Linked DNA regions of Arabidopsis thaliana. The protein of the gene in region 2 binds, or shares a complex with, the protein of the main gene of each other region. Each region holds a gene or a part of one and is shown on either strand. Other genes may lie near its edges.

The links.
Region 1: COP8 (region 2) and CSN6A share a complex: the UniProt entries of both Arabidopsis thaliana proteins name them as parts of the CSN complex.
Region 3: COP8 (region 2) and CSN5A share a complex: the UniProt entries of both Arabidopsis thaliana proteins name them as parts of the CSN complex.

The regions. Positions count from the first base shown.
Region 1 is NC_003076.8:22,782,863-22,787,405, reverse strand, and holds CSN6A (COP9 signalosome subunit 6A), read left to right. Parts: upstream 1-1,800; 5' UTR 1,801-1,875; coding exon 1,876-2,173; intron 2,174-2,262; coding exon 2,263-2,351; intron 2,352-2,437; coding exon 2,438-2,531; intron 2,532-2,730; coding exon 2,731-2,792; intron 2,793-2,911; coding exon 2,912-2,990; intron 2,991-3,071; coding exon 3,072-3,164; intron 3,165-3,297; coding exon 3,298-3,398; intron 3,399-3,490; coding exon 3,491-3,546; intron 3,547-3,707; coding exon 3,708-3,789; 3' UTR 3,790-4,022; downstream 4,023-4,543. Other genes in the region: PEX5 (peroxin 5), read right to left, coding at 1-121, 218-346, 632-751; WRKY2 (WRKY DNA-binding protein 2), read right to left, coding at 4,269-4,543. UniProt on the Arabidopsis thaliana protein: Component of the COP9 signalosome complex (CSN), a complex involved in various cellular and developmental processes such as photomorphogenesis and auxin and jasmonate responses.
Region 2 is NC_003076.8:17,236,591-17,242,502, reverse strand, and holds COP8 (Proteasome component (PCI) domain protein), read left to right. Parts: upstream 1-1,686; 5' UTR 1,687-1,853; coding exon 1,854-1,983; intron 1,984-2,121; coding exon 2,122-2,273; intron 2,274-2,543; coding exon 2,544-2,647; intron 2,648-2,735; coding exon 2,736-2,796; intron 2,797-3,253; coding exon 3,254-3,346; intron 3,347-3,434; coding exon 3,435-3,535; intron 3,536-3,776; coding exon 3,777-3,885; intron 3,886-3,970; coding exon 3,971-4,015; intron 4,016-4,238; coding exon 4,239-4,307; intron 4,308-4,404; coding exon 4,405-4,496; intron 4,497-4,570; coding exon 4,571-4,673; intron 4,674-4,796; coding exon 4,797-4,856; intron 4,857-4,958; coding exon 4,959-5,033; 3' UTR 5,034-5,350; downstream 5,351-5,912. Other genes in the region: AT5G42965 (Polynucleotidyl transferase, ribonuclease H-like superfamily protein), read right to left, coding at 5,378-5,767. UniProt on the Arabidopsis thaliana protein: Component of the COP9 signalosome complex (CSN), a complex involved in various cellular and developmental processes such as photomorphogenesis and auxin and jasmonate responses.
Region 3 is NC_003070.9:8,108,985-8,114,012, reverse strand, and holds CSN5A (COP9 signalosome 5A), read left to right. Parts: upstream 1-1,951; 5' UTR 1,952-2,117; coding exon 2,118-2,507; intron 2,508-2,634; coding exon 2,635-2,916; intron 2,917-3,002; coding exon 3,003-3,150; intron 3,151-3,253; coding exon 3,254-3,339; intron 3,340-3,865; coding exon 3,866-3,943; coding exon of another isoform or gene 3,944-4,015; exon of another isoform or gene 4,016-4,041; coding exon 4,042-4,131; 3' UTR 4,132-4,439; downstream 4,440-5,028. UniProt on the Arabidopsis thaliana protein: Probable protease subunit of the COP9 signalosome complex (CSN), a complex involved in various cellular and developmental processes such as photomorphogenesis and auxin and jasmonate responses.

The DNA.
Region 1 (4,543 bases), 5.5 Mb from region 2:
GCTGAACTGGCTCAAACATAGGTCCCATTGGAGGCATAGGTCCACCTTGCTGTACCTCATCCCAAGCTGCACCCAAACCATTCTGATCAACAGAGCGAAAACCACGGAAGAACTCTGACCCCTAATGTAAAAATTGCAAACCCATCAGCCATCACAGAGGCTAGATAATCAGAGTCAATACTACCATTGTAAAACCAAAACTTTCCACAACATTAACCTGAGCACCCGGTTGCAGAAGTGGCTGATCTAACTCAGAACCAGGAAGTGACCTTATCTGTTGGTCTTCAGAGTAAAATTGTGGCCGAGGACCTGACCGGTTTGCATTAGGTATCTCCTTGAGCCTTTCCTGCACAACAAATCACCAATCATCAACATTTCTTCAAATTCTCAGGAAATTTTAAACCTTTAAACAATTGTCAGCCAAATCACTTGACATAATCGAAGAACGTCTAAAACCCTAACACTACGGAAAGAAAAATCGAAACTTGGCAAGCAAATAACAAAACCCAACGAAAAATGAGATCTAATTCGACTTCTTAGTTCCAGGAGAACCAAGGAAAAGGCGAAGAATGGAATCAGGAGACTTCAAATGTCAACACTGTTTCGATCAAAAAGGAATCAGGAAGCTAACCTGGGTTTTGGAAGACGAACCAAGTAAAGCGTTGGTGAGAGCTCCGAGAGGATTAGAAGAAGAAGACGAACCAGGAACGGCACAAGCGGCTCCGCCGTTAACAAGGTCTCTCATCGCCATGTTTCCAACGGGTTTCTACTCCTCCGCCGCAATCACCGTCGTTGAATCTATCAGTATGGTTTCCTCCGTTGTCCGGAATTGATCATCAACCTCCCAAATCCTAATCTTTAGTTTGGCTCGTCTCGTGGCGGTGTTTTTTTTGTTTGTTGTGTTTGGTCACAGCTTCGTAAGAAATTATTAAATTTTTTGATAGTATTTTGGTAATTAATATTTATATATTATCCACACCACACACATTTTTAGGCTCACCAACACATTTTTGTTTAGTTATTTATTTTTGTGAAAAAACCGTTTTTTACAGTATCCGTAATTAAAAATGAATTGTTGTGAATATAGTTTTTTTTTATCTTTCTTTATCAAGATATGTTTTATCTTTTTGTCCGATTTGCTGCCACTTTTGAATTTTGTAGTTTCCTATTAGTGTTGAATTATATTTGCTTGATCATACCAAAGATAAATAAATTATATTGCTTGATTTTTGCTGGGTTTAGTTATATTTCTTGATTGATTGTGCAATGCGTTACAAACGAAGGTAGATTCTACTCTTGTACTCATATCACACATTTGGACGACCAACATGACTTCACTAATTTCATCAATAACTAAAAAAAAAAAAAAAATTCATCTACATCAACAATAGTTACAATATGCTAGGCATCTCTAGATTTTTTTTTCCTTTCATTAACTTGCAAGAATTTACACACTAGAAATCAAACATTTTGTGGAAAAAATTATAACCTTTAGTCTAACCACTGAACTATTGAACTTTCATATTGAAAAATTTGATGAATGTTGTCTGTTTTCAAATTTCTAGTACATTTTTTGTCAACTTCAGATATCTGATTTTATGAGTCTCAATCGTTTGGTTTATCTTATTTTCGTTTGTTAATTAATATAATTAGTTTCCAAAATGAAAAAATGTAATTGGAAAAACAAGTCATGAGGCCCAACCGCATATATAAGTCCTACGCTCGGCCCATACAGAAAAAACTAATATCCATATAGTTGACCCGGAAGACCCGATCTAGGATCCGAATCCACATTGATTTAAATAAAAAAAATCTTCATAAAAAAACTAAAAACCCAAAAACCAAAGAATTCATCAAAGGAGAGAGAGATCGACAATGGCACCTTCGTCATCAAGCGGTTTAACCTTCAAGCTACATCCTTTGGTAATCGTCAACATATCGGATCACTACACTAGGGTCAAAACTCAGCTCAATCCTCCTGCTTCAATCTGCGCAAGCGGCCATGGCTCAAACAACGGCGAAGCAATGTTCCAGCAAAACCCTAGGGTTTACGGATGTGTGATCGGTGTCCAGAGAGGTCGTACTGTTGAGATATTCAACAGTTTCGAGCTTTTATATGATCCTTCTACTCAAACCCTTGATAGATCTTTCCTCGAGAAGAAGCAAGAGCTCTGTAAGCTAAAGCTCACTCTTTTTATTCTCAACTATTGATGCAATCGTAAATTAAAGTTTGAACTTTTATCTGGTTTTATTGTTTATTAGATAAGAAGGTGTTCCCTGATTTCTATATTCTGGGATGGTACTCTACGGGAAGTGATGCTGAGGAATCTGATATGCATATCCATAAAGCTGTGAGTCCAATGCTCTCTCTAGTATTTTTGTATAATTGAGATTTGGTCTCTAAAAGTGTGGTTTTTGTGTCTGCTCTTGGTGACAGTTGATGGATATCAATGAATCTCCTGTTTATGTGCTTTTAAACCCTGCTATCAATCACACACAGAAGGATCTTCCAGTGACTATTTATGAAAGTGGTATGCTTCTTATAATGTCATATGGTTCTGTGGGTACATTCTGATATGTTAGCATGTTAGTATAGGTATATGCGTAGTTCAGAGTTTCTAGATATCTTCCCAAGTCTTTATCTTTATTGACTTCCAGATTTAGGTCAGATTGTTTTACAAGATCCTAACTTTTCTCTTTGTTTCATTGATTGATCTTCATTACTTGAAGAATTGCATGTCATTGATGGAATCCCGCAGCTAATTTTCGCTCATACAAGCTACACAATCGAGGTCTGTGCTTAAGTTTGATTCTGCAAATAATTTTTTTTTTTTTTGTCAAACATTCTGCAATTTAATCTATGTTATGAAAGTGTACATTGACTAAGATTTTGAGGTGTTATACAATGTAGACAGTTGAAGCTGAACGGATATCAGTTGATCATGTTGCACATCTTAAACCATCTGACGGAGGCTCAGCAGCAACCCAGTGTGAGCCTTATGTCACTAATACATATCATACTCCACTTCCTGAGTCTTACTGTTTTTGGCTGATTATTCGTTCATATGCAGTGGCTGCTCATCTTACTGGTATACATAGTGCCATCAAGATGCTTAATAGCAGAATCAGAGTGCTTTACCAAAATCTTGCTGCAATGCAGAAAGGTATATTCTGTTCTTTCCCAAGTTCCGATTCTTATCACCGTGGTTTCATGTTTACCAGTCCAGGATTCTAGCTGAAGATAGTCAAAGTTGTGTAAGTGTAATAATTTATCTGCCAACTCATTTATGTGTGTAGGTGATAAATCTTGTGACAACTCAGTTCTGAGACAAGTATCTAGCCTGCTAAGAAGATTGCCTGCCATGGAATCAGAGAGATTTCAAGATAATTTCTTGATGGTGAGTTAGTTAGATCTGCACTTGATTCTTTTCAGTGTAGCTTATTGTCTGAGATATTTCGCAACTTATGCTGGCATTTTTTCTTTTTGCAGGAGTACAACGACAAATTACTAATAACTTACCTAGCGATGATTACAAATTGTTCCAGGTTTGTACCTAATGCAACATTCTAAAGTATTTGAAAGCAAGTATATAGGCTAGCGAATGCTCTTTAACTAGTGGTTCTTTAGGAACTGTGAAAGATACGGTTTTCACCGGGCTGGTGGATTCTGTTATATCAGTTAATAATTTTGTTTGCTCAATCTGCAGCAACATGAACGAGATGGTCGACAAATTCAACACCGCATATGACAGAAACACTCGAAGAGGTGGAAGAACTGCATTCATGTAAAAGATCCTTTCCAGCGATTCTAGTTCTAAAGATCTTCTCTTGGTTCCTGAAACCATTTTTAACATTGCCTCTGTGAGAATCTATAACTCAGACGGCAAGACTTTATCCTCTTCATTGTTTCTATATCTATAAGAACATCTGCTTATCTATCAAAGCTCTTGTTTGATCTTGAACAAGTTTCTATTGTTAGTAAAAAGATTTTAAGGTTTGATTCTATCAGTCTCTCTAGTTACATCCACATCAGTCTCCAGTTAGCAATTGCAGTATTGCTACACAACACTCACTTTTTTCTTCTTTGTTGATTTCAATATAAGATAAAGAACCAGTAAAAAAGAAGACAAAACCAAGGAATGAACAATAAAACAGCCTTTACCTTCCCCAAAGTTTGAAACCAATAAATGAAAGAAGAAGAAGAAGCAGAAATTAAAAGTTATTATAAGGAGTGACCAAATGCAGAAGAAGAAGAAGAAGAGTAAATTTCAAATCTGAGGTAATCTACTCATGATCTGGTTATATACCGATTGTCCTGAATCTGAAACCGGTTCAACCTTTGGTTCCATCCCTCTCTGCATCATTGCTTCACTCATCCCAACCGGTTGTGTCATATACGGGTGAGGCAAACCCGGCATTTTCCCTTGACCATACGCTAAACCAGGCATTGAAAGATTAACCAAACCGGTTTGTCCTAAACCGAAGGAGAAACCAGAAGGAGGACCCAAATGTGGCTGAAAGCTAAAGGGACGGCTAAAAGGAG
Region 2 (5,912 bases):
GCAAATCGGATTCAGCTTCTGAGGACGCGTGTAATTTATGCTCATTGAAAATAGAAGAAATTGATATATTTAGTCAAAAAGGTTATGAGATTTGAGTATTTCTTTTTATTTTTTATTTTTTTTTTGTTGGTCACATTGAATATTATTGCCTTTGGTAGTTCAGTCCTATATTTTATTTGAGAAACAAAATCAGAAAAGAATCTATAATTTGAAGCAACTTTCATATTGTAATTTGGTATTCCTATATTTTATTTGAGAAACAATATCAGAAAAGATCAAAAGAATCTATAATTTGTAGCAACTTTAAATATTGTAATAGGAAATCTTTTAAAATTTATCAATATGAAATTTGTTAATTTATAATAGGTCTTGAGATTTGATCATGTGACTTCTAAACACAAGTTATTGGGCTTTTGTTTAAGTAAAGCCCATGTGTCAAAGAAATGGATTGTTTTCCTAGTTAGTGAAATAATCTTATACACACAATTTAAAAACAATAGAGAAAATTAATGTTGAAATGAGCAGATTAATGTGGGGTTGTACATATCAAGGTGGAACTATCACAAGGAAGAACAAAGAGATATCTTGAGGTAACTACCCAAAGAAAGAGCAATGAAACCCTACCATGACAATTTGTCCAGACTATAACGAGTTAAATCATTATCATGAATTCCATACCATGGCAATTTGTTTTCTTTCAATGGGATGTCTACCATTCCAAAAAAGTTTTGCCATCAACAACCGCATCTGTTCTTTTGAGTAAATGTAATTTTGGTAAACTATGTAGTCTATAATCATTAGTTACAATATGGATCTGTAAAGTTGATTCAAAAACAATTGTGATGTTCTCGAACGGGATCACCATAAACTTCATCAAAAAAAATCCTTTAAGCGAGAGAAACTCGTGATTTTTCGAGACAACGATTGTGTCTATGAGTCTATCGTCCAACCTCATCCAATACCAATATGTTCAGTTATATCTAAGTTGTAAAGCACATAAAATCGATTTGTCAGTCAGCTCACATGTTTAAACCAAAGTCGTATTCCAATGCGAGACTTGGTTTCCTAGTCTGAGATAGGTAAATTTCTTTATATACTACCCTCTATGTAACGAGAGAGTGGTTCTTTTTTCACTTTTAATTCATGAGAGCACTTTCAAAACATTTTGCATGTCATTGCTCTCAAGATTTGGGCTCACAACTTTTCCGATGACTTCTCGGTCATATCTTGACCATTCGATCAATTTTTCGATTGCTTCTAGTCGATTCTTTCTCAACAAATAATTATTTACGTTTCCATCTTAAATTGCTCCCTAAGCTCTAAAACACATAACATATCATCTTTTTCCGATCTGGTATCATAATATTAAACGTGGTATTGTCATCATAAAATACCTCATCATCGTGTTTTCCAAATCACGACGTGTTTTTTTATTTGTGTAAAAGATTTACTGTAGTAATTTAGGCTCACATATAAAAATATTTCTAAACAATATATTATTTGTTGATTTTTTTTTTTAATCTACAATCAATTTGGTAAACTTACCATCACAAATTAATTATAAAATTTATGAACTAACAAAAAAAAATATAGTATTTATGCTTAATATATATATATATATATTTTAATTTATTTTGGGTACTAATCTCATATGAGTTGTGACCATATTAAGTAAATTTTGTAAAGCGCCTCTCCGATCACCGGCACAGAATCTAGTCCCCGTTTATTTTTTTAATATAAAAAGAGAGCAAACTCCAAAAAAAAAAAAAAAAAAAGCGAGAGAGAAATCAAAACCTTGTAAGGTTTCTTAGGGTTTCAATCGAAGCGGGAGAGAAAATCTCAGAAGAGAAGCCATGGATGAAGCTTTGACGAACGCTTCTGCAATCGGTGACCAACGCCAGAAAATCGAACAGTACAAACTCATCCTCTCCTCTGTTCTCTCTTCCAACGATCTTCTCCAAGCTCAGAGATTCATCGATCACAGTAATTTCGCATCTCCCTTCTTTCTCATGGTTTCAACTTCATAAGAGATTCGACAACTGCTTTTTGTTCTTATGGAATTCGGTTTATATCAGAATTTCTGGTTTGATTTTGATTTTTGCTTCCTCACAATTTTTCCAGTTCTTTCCGATGATGTCCCGTTGGTGGTTTCGAGGCAGCTTTTGCAGTCTTTCGCACAAGAGCTTGGGAGATTAGAACCGGAGACGCAGAAGGAGATTGCTCAATTTACTCTTACCCAGATTCAGCCTAGAGTTGTTTCCTTTGAGGAACAGGTTTGTTTTCTCTTCGTGATACCTTACTGTTTAGCAGCAATCGTGTACTTTTTAAACCCTAATTAGTTTACCTACTTAACATAAGTTGAGAGGTATGTAGAGTCGCTTTGCTATTGTACCGCTTTGGTATGTGAAATCTACACTGAAAGCTAATTTGAGATATTTGTTTACTAAGGATGCTGTATTTTGGGATAACTGAGACAATGTACGTTGTGTTGTTTTTCAATCTCTTTATTCTAAGAGATGAAACTGTTTGTGGTGTATTTGCAGGCACTTGTTATCAGAGAAAAACTTGCGGGTTTGTATGAATCAGAGCAGGAATGGTCAAAAGCAGCACAGATGTTGAGTGGAATTGATCTGGATTCTGGAATGAGGTGTGTGGCATTGAGCAGAATTTTGTTTTAGTTTCCTCTCTATGTTCTTTTGTGTTGCTTATTTTGGATTTGCGGAATTCTTTATTAGGGCCGTTGACGACAACTTCAAGCTTTCAAAGTGTATCCAAATTGCTCGTTTGTATCTCGAGGTTTGTCTTTCCCTTTCATGTACATATGCACAATAGATTCTGTGTCCTTTTCATTAATTTTTAAGCATGTAAATCGGTTATCTCTGTTTATGAGATGAATTTACGCATCGCAGTAATGATTTATAGCTAGTTTGTCTTGTTTCCTTCTGTGGGTGCGTGTCAATCAGTTACAGAAGTTAGATCTTAAAAGCACAAAAGAAACCCGTTGTTGAATGTTGATTCAATCTTCAAATATTTGGACATTTTTCTAGAGAGATTTTATTTAAAGTTAAGTCTCTTGACCAAATCTAAGTGTCATGAAATTAGGAATATCGACTGTTAAGAGCATTATTCTGCTTCACTACATCACTTTTTTATTTATTGCTTGTGAGAGTAAATTGAGGCTAGCAGAGTTGTATAAATACATTTAGTTAAATTTTTATTGTTCTCTAATACTTTTGTGTTTTGAAATTTTCAGGATGATGATGCTGTAAATGCAGAGGCTTTTATAAATAAAGCTTCTTTCTTAGTGAGCAATAGTCAGAATGAAGTTTTGAATTTGCAGTACAAGGTTGGACCACCTTAAAGTAAACTAAGAATTTATGTGCTGGGTGATTAAGGAGCATTCGTTTTCAAGTTTTAATATATTTCTGTTTCAGGTCTGCTATGCTAGAATTTTGGACATGAAAAGAAAGTTTTTAGAGGCTGCACTTCGGTATTACGGCATATCTCAGATTGAGCAACGCCAAATAGGGGATGAGTAAGTGAACTGACTTATCTTTCTGCTACATCTTTTCTTCAAATTCTCCTCTGTTGGTTTCTTGTTCGGATGGAATAATGATTAATTAATCTTCTATCCATCTTTGGAGACTCTGTATTTAAAGCTAGTTTCCTACTTTTCCCCTCTCTGTGATTGAATAGTGTTCCTCTTTTCTCTCTCCAATACCTTTGTGATATCTCATATTCTGAAACGGTTATAATGTGTTTTCTAATCTTTTCAGAGAGATTGATGAGAATGCTTTAGAGCAGGCCCTATCAGCTGCTGTCACATGTACCATATTAGCTGGAGCTGGTCCTCAGCGTTCTCGTGTTCTTGCAACTTTATACAAAGTAATTCCCTTTTGGATTACAAATAGAATACTTTCCTGCTTGCTTATTTATTGTTTTTTATTTCTCAATATCTTTCTATTAACAGGATGAGCGTTGCTCCAAGCTGAAGATTTATCCTATCCTGCAGAAGGTTCTATCTCTTATTACCTACAACTGTTTCCTCTAGTAGACAAACATACATTTTCATGCTATTGGACATATAGTATTGTTTGAACTCACATATTACTCTTGTTTAAGCCGGCATGATGTTTATTAGATTTGATTCATTATCAAATCAAACAAGTTCACCATAGCTTATAGAGGCTTGGTTAGAAATGCATGGTAACTTTTTGTTTTTTAATGCAACTTTATAGGTGTATCTGGAAAGGATTTTAAGGAGACCAGAGATTGATGCCTTTTCAGAAGAACTAAGGCCACATCAGGTATGGACTGTGAATTAAGATTTAGATGTAGTTTTTGGATAACATCTGAGTTGGTAAGTAGGTTCATAACAAGTTATTACACTGTTGATTTCAACAGAAAGCATCTTTGCCTGACAAATCCACTGTTCTTGACCGTGCTATGATTGAGCATAACCTTCTTAGTGCAAGCAAACTCTACACAAACATAAGGTATGAGATGTCGAATTAGTATCTTCTTTGTGTGTCTAGACTTGTTTGATTTTCTCAACTATTTTATATCCTAGGTTTGATGAATTGGGAACTCTGTTGGCGATTGATCCAAGAAAAGCGGAGAAGATAGCAGCTAATATGATTGGGCAAGACCGAATGAGGGGTTCCATAGATCAGGTAAGCAATAAAAAATACTTTGTTGGTTGAGCTATGTAAGAGCCCTGAAGAGAATTCTCGTTAGTGTTGATTTTCTAGAAGGAGGTTCCTAGACGTGTTTTAATATTTTATGTTACTGTTCAGGAGGAGGCTGTGATTCATTTTGAGGATGACGTGGAGGAACTACAACAATGGGATCAACAGGTTTTCTATCTCTCCCTCCCACTCTTTGTCTCTTTAGAGCAACTATATATGATTGTTTGTTTTATTGGCGTGGAATATGACTGAAAAGTGGAATCTGTGCAGATATCGGGATTATGCCAAGCTCTCAATGACATTCTGGATGGGATGGCCAAGAAAGGCATGTCTGTTCCTGTCTGATTGACTCCCAAGCCGTGAGATCGCCTCATGATGATTAATTTGTATTAGCCGAGCAACGGATCGAGTCTCATGCCAAAGTTTTTGCCAAATTGCTGTGTTTTGGGGACAGTCATTTTCACCTTATTTACTTTCTTGCAAATTCATGTCTATGTCTTTAGGTTAATTGATTCAGAGAGGAAAAGATTAGGCATTGAATGAGGATTTTTAAGAAAGTTGAAAAGAGGTTCAGGGTACATTTTTACCTCAGAACAAATTATTTTATGCATAGATGAACCTTTCTTGTGCAAGAGAATGATGAAACTAGTAGTTTTTTTTTTTTTTTTGGCTCAACAACAACTTCTCATTTACCAAACGGTGATTACACAGAGTCTGAATACACACAATCTTTTATCCAAGCCGGCACCTTTAGAATACATTTTAGGATCATAATTCAATAAAGAAAGAGATTCCCTAGCAATTCTATCTGCCACACTGTTTCCTTCACGCTTTATATGCATCACCTTCACCTCCTCAAATTGTTGGAATATATGTCTAATGTCCTGAATTCTTGGGGCCAAATTTGGATAATCAGTATCATCCCCTAACAGAGACACTAGATGTTGGGAATCTGATTCAAAGATGACTTTCTTATAGTTAAATCTTGACATTGAAAGAGCTGCCCATCTCATAGCTTCAAGTTCCACTTCCAACACTGTCTGAACTCTCGGGATTGCACGAAGTCCCAGCCACAACATTTTCCCCTCATGATTTCTCAGATGAAACTAGTAGTTACATATAACATTTTCCCATTCGTTGTTTAATTTTTATTCTTGAACGATCAAAACTTATGCGAATTTAAGAAATGATCAATGATAACAGACGAAACTGCTAGTAATAATA
Region 3 (5,028 bases), on a different chromosome or scaffold from region 2:
AACAAAAAAAATGTTATCCACTTTCTCAAATCTATATATACTAAAGGATGTGTATTTAATCTAGTAGTTTAAATTATTTGTGTAAAATTTACAAACTTTATGTTATTTAATTATAGATTTTAAAAACTTTAATGAAATCCAATGTTATTAAACTAATAATTTAAAAATTAACTTTAAAATCAATTGTTATTGAAAACAGTTTGTGGAGTTGATTCTTATTCATCTTGAAAGATTTGAGAAAACTTCTTTAGTTACAAATACACAAATTCAAATCTCATGGTTTTAGATAGAATTTGAAAAGATTTCTATAATTTTAAGAAAGTTGATGTGATTAATTGTACAATCTTTTCAAATTCCATCTACAATCATGAGATTTGTTTTCAATAACAGTTGATTTAAAAGTAAATTTTAAAATCGTTAGTTCAATAACACTTGATTTTAATAGAGTTTTTAAAATCCATGATTGATAAATTTTACACAAATCACTTAAAATACTAGATTGAATACACTTCTACAAAATCATCAAAATCATATAACTACTTACCCTCCCCCTCCCACCCCCCTCTAAATTAACCGTCATTTTAACAAAAACTGCATGTAACAAAACTTTCAAATTTTACCGAATGTGACAAAACTTTCAAAACTGCATGTAACAAAACTTTCAAATTTTACCGAATGTGACAAAACTTTCAAATGGGACAACACTTTCAAAAACAGCAACATTTACCACATGTCACAAAACTTTCAAATTTTACTTTTATACTTTCACGTAATCTAATTCTATTACCACTTTGTTAGCAACCACTCCTTCCCCATGATCTCAAAATGTATCCTCTCCTCTAAACTTTCTTCCACTTTTTTTTTTATAAGTAATTGTAACAGTCAAACAGATGCATTAACTTCTTCTTTATTGCTCTTCTTTCTCACAAACTCAGAAGATCTTCCATTTTTTTTTTCAAAATCCAACTAAAGGCAATTATGTTTTATTTTGCCAAAATATTTTGATATATGATGTAATTTGGCATTTATTTTGTATCAGCATAGCAGGGGCGGCCATAATCTTAGTATATGCATATAATTGAGGCTGCTCTTAAATTTTAGCGTATTTATATTGTAGTGAATTCTTTGTCTTGTATAATATTTTGGATGTAGGACCTGAATGTTGGTACATGAAGACAATCTAATATTTTTAAAGCAGTTATCATTAAGCATTTAAGCAAGTAATGAAACACAACAACACGGTAGAAATTTAAGCAAGCACTTTGATGATCTCTCTCCTTAACTCAAAACATCTTTATAGTATTGTTGTGTTTCATTATTTGTTCTATGTTAATTGCTTTACAAATATTACACTGTGTCCTTGTACAAATATTTAGGTCTAATGCTAAAACTAATTTTTCTTTTGATTCGCAACACTCAAAATAAAAAACTGATCGAAAGCTAACCTTATGTTATACTCTCTGAGTTCTGACACAAACAAGAGAAGAAAAGAGAGGAAAGTGATTTAGATGCTTTGATCGATGATAGAATGAGAAGACAAAAGCTTGACTTTATAGCTAAAGATCAACGTCTATGCCATAAAGTCAAGCATAATTCACACAATATATAAGTTGAACATGCTATCAAAATAAGCTTACTACATTGGTGAAATTATGCATGTGTGGATATCTCAAGAAATATGCATGAGATGCATTACTCTTCTTTTACGCTTTGTGATTTAAGATATTGTATGCCAAATCTATGTGTTGCCAACATTGATTTCTATACCAATTGGTTGATACAATGACTGGAATTTATCCTTTGATTTGCCAACATTGATTTCTATAAAAGTTAAACAAACTAAAAATAAAAAGGGAAAAATATTTAATAAAAAATGTACAATATTAAATTTCCATAAAAATTTTATATGGTTAATGTTTTGGATTAGCATTAGTCCCCAAATCCCATATTAAGTAAATCCATTTTGAGTTTTGTTCTCGCAAACCGGTTTAACCCAAGAACCCAAAGATCTCTCTCTATTTGTTTGCCTTCTTCTTTCTTTCTGACTCAAACCCTCAAATCAATTCTCGCGATTAAGCAAAACCCTAGATTTATTCTACTCTTCGAAGTCGATTTCAATGGAAGGTTCCTCGTCAGCCATCGCGAGGAAGACATGGGAGCTAGAGAACAACATTCTCCCAGTGGAACCAACCGATTCAGCCTCCGACAGTATATTCCACTACGACGACGCTTCACAAGCCAAAATCCAGCAGGAGAAGCCATGGGCCTCCGATCCTAACTACTTCAAGCGCGTTCACATCTCAGCCCTTGCTCTTCTCAAGATGGTGGTTCACGCTCGCTCCGGTGGCACAATCGAGATCATGGGTCTTATGCAGGGTAAAACCGAGGGTGATACAATCATCGTTATGGATGCTTTTGCTTTGCCTGTTGAAGGTACTGAGACTAGGGTTAATGCTCAGTCTGATGCCTATGAGTATATGGTTGAATACTCTCAGACCAGCAAGCTGGTAAGATATCTCTTATTCATCTCTCGCTGTAGCTCCTTGTTTAATTAGCTAGTTGCTACTTGGATCCTTTATGCAAGATTTTGCGAGTGTTTGATTGATTGGTTATGACTGTAACTTTGAACTATAGGCTGGGAGGTTGGAGAACGTTGTTGGATGGTATCACTCTCACCCTGGGTATGGATGTTGGCTCTCGGGTATTGATGTTTCGACACAGATGCTTAACCAACAGTATCAGGAGCCATTCTTAGCTGTTGTTATTGATCCAACAAGGACTGTTTCGGCTGGTAAGGTTGAGATTGGGGCATTCAGAACATATCCAGAGGGACATAAGATCTCGGATGATCATGTTTCTGAGTATCAGACTATCCCTCTTAACAAGATTGAGGACTTTGGTGTACATTGCAAACAGGTATGTATAATTCTTATTTATCGATTTTAAAACTTGGGAGGGTTTTAATCATCGATCTTATGATTCATTTTTTTTGTATGTGGCAGTACTACTCATTGGACATCACTTATTTCAAGTCATCTCTCGATAGTCACCTTCTGGATCTCCTTTGGAACAAGTACTGGGTGAACACTCTTTCTTCTTCCCCACTGTTGGGCAATGGAGACTATGTTGCCGGGCAAATATCAGACTTGGGTAAATTCTTGTATATATGAAAGAGCAAGTTAATTTACTTTTCATCCAGGTCGTAGTTTGATATATCCTCTTTTCTTACCATTTAATTGTTTACATGATGAAGCTGAGAAGCTCGAGCAAGCGGAGAGTCAGCTCGCTAACTCCCGGTATGGAGGAATTGCGCCAGCCGGTCACCAAAGGAGGAAAGAGGTTTGTCTAAATGGTTGCTTTAGCAAAATTATTTGTTATGTTCTCAATGTTTATTGACTGTCTGAGATACTGGACCATGATCTTGAGCTCATACACTTGCCACTTTTCAAGCTTGTTCCTGTGTAGAAACTTTTCATTTGGCTAATTAACTGCTACTATCAACATCTAGCAACTTGGATTAAATTTGAACTTTTTATTCTTAGGCATTATGTTGACTGGATATTGACTAATAGAAACTCTACCTGCAAAACACTATGTTTTACCTTTTCTGGGTTTGAAATTTCACAATTGAGTGTATGTTTAGTCAAAAATATACAGAGCTATTAAAGTTTGAACTAGTAAAACAGGGAGACTTTGATGTATCAATTTGTCAACGAGTTGTTGCCAATAGTCTATGTCTGCTTCCTAGAGTTCTGTTATCTCTGGCTGTGTGACTCATTTTGATATTGTTTTAATCTTCTTTACATAAAAACATTTGTTTTGGAGATTACATTACCTAAGTATATGTGTTGTGGACCACTTTCAGGATGAGCCTCAACTCGCGAAGATAACTCGGGATAGTGCAAAGATAACTGTCGAGCAGGTCCATGGACTAATGTCACAGGTGAGTAAATACAATCTGACAATGCTGATCCTATTTCCCCTTGCGGTTAATGGATCCATGAAATTGACTTAAAAAGTCTTTCATCCATCAATGTGCAGGTTATCAAAGACATCTTGTTCAATTCCGCTCGTCAGTCCAAGAAGTCTGCTGACGACTCATCAGATCCAGAGCCCATGATTACATCGTGAAGTTGGTCTATTCTTTTGTTTTTTGGCTGCGGAAATTGACTATCGGTTTGACCCGGTTTATGAGGCAATGCCCATTGTTCCCTATATCTCTAGTGTAGTATCTGCTTCAGACAAAGATCTTTGGGTTATTAAATGACATTAACATAAATCGATCATTATGTTTTTGCGTTTGACTATCTTGATTTAGTGGTATTAAAAACCAAATTCCAGATACACACGTGATGTCACAGTAATCATGTGCCTGTTACGGAACCATGTGCAAAAAATTGACACAAGCATACAAATGTTCTCCAACGATTGAAGCAACAATGATTCTAGGCCCTCTTTTCTTTCTGTTCTTCATCACATGAAATTCATCAGGATGTTGTTTTTCACATTTATGTTTGAACAGCATTTCTTTTGTTAAAAGCGAACAAATTCTATTCTAAAACCGAAATTGTCATTACAACAAGACCACGATTTAAGGGTACTAAAAGCGGATTAAGATTTCTGCATTCGAACAAACTGACTACTAAACGAACATCAGGCCGAGAAAACAGTCGGTAGGAAGAGATAACGTGTGAAGTTACTTGAGTAGGATTAAGAGTAAGGTAGTAGTAATTGATAGAAGCTGCGTGGGGCTTAATCAATAATGACATCCTCACTTAACCAGCATTACTGGAAAACAAGAATAAGAAACCACATGATGATGTCAAAGACTTTTTGGGCCTTCGCGTATCCCTAAATGGGCCTATTTACGGCCTAATACTTGTCTAATGTATAGTTGGGTAGAACAAGAAGGTCCGAGAGTTCGAAGCTTAAGCCATTCTATCTTTTCTGGGGATCTAGAAGATCCAAATGATCAAAGAAGATATTATGAAAATTTATTCTGGAGATTAGTTTTGATATATTGTGATT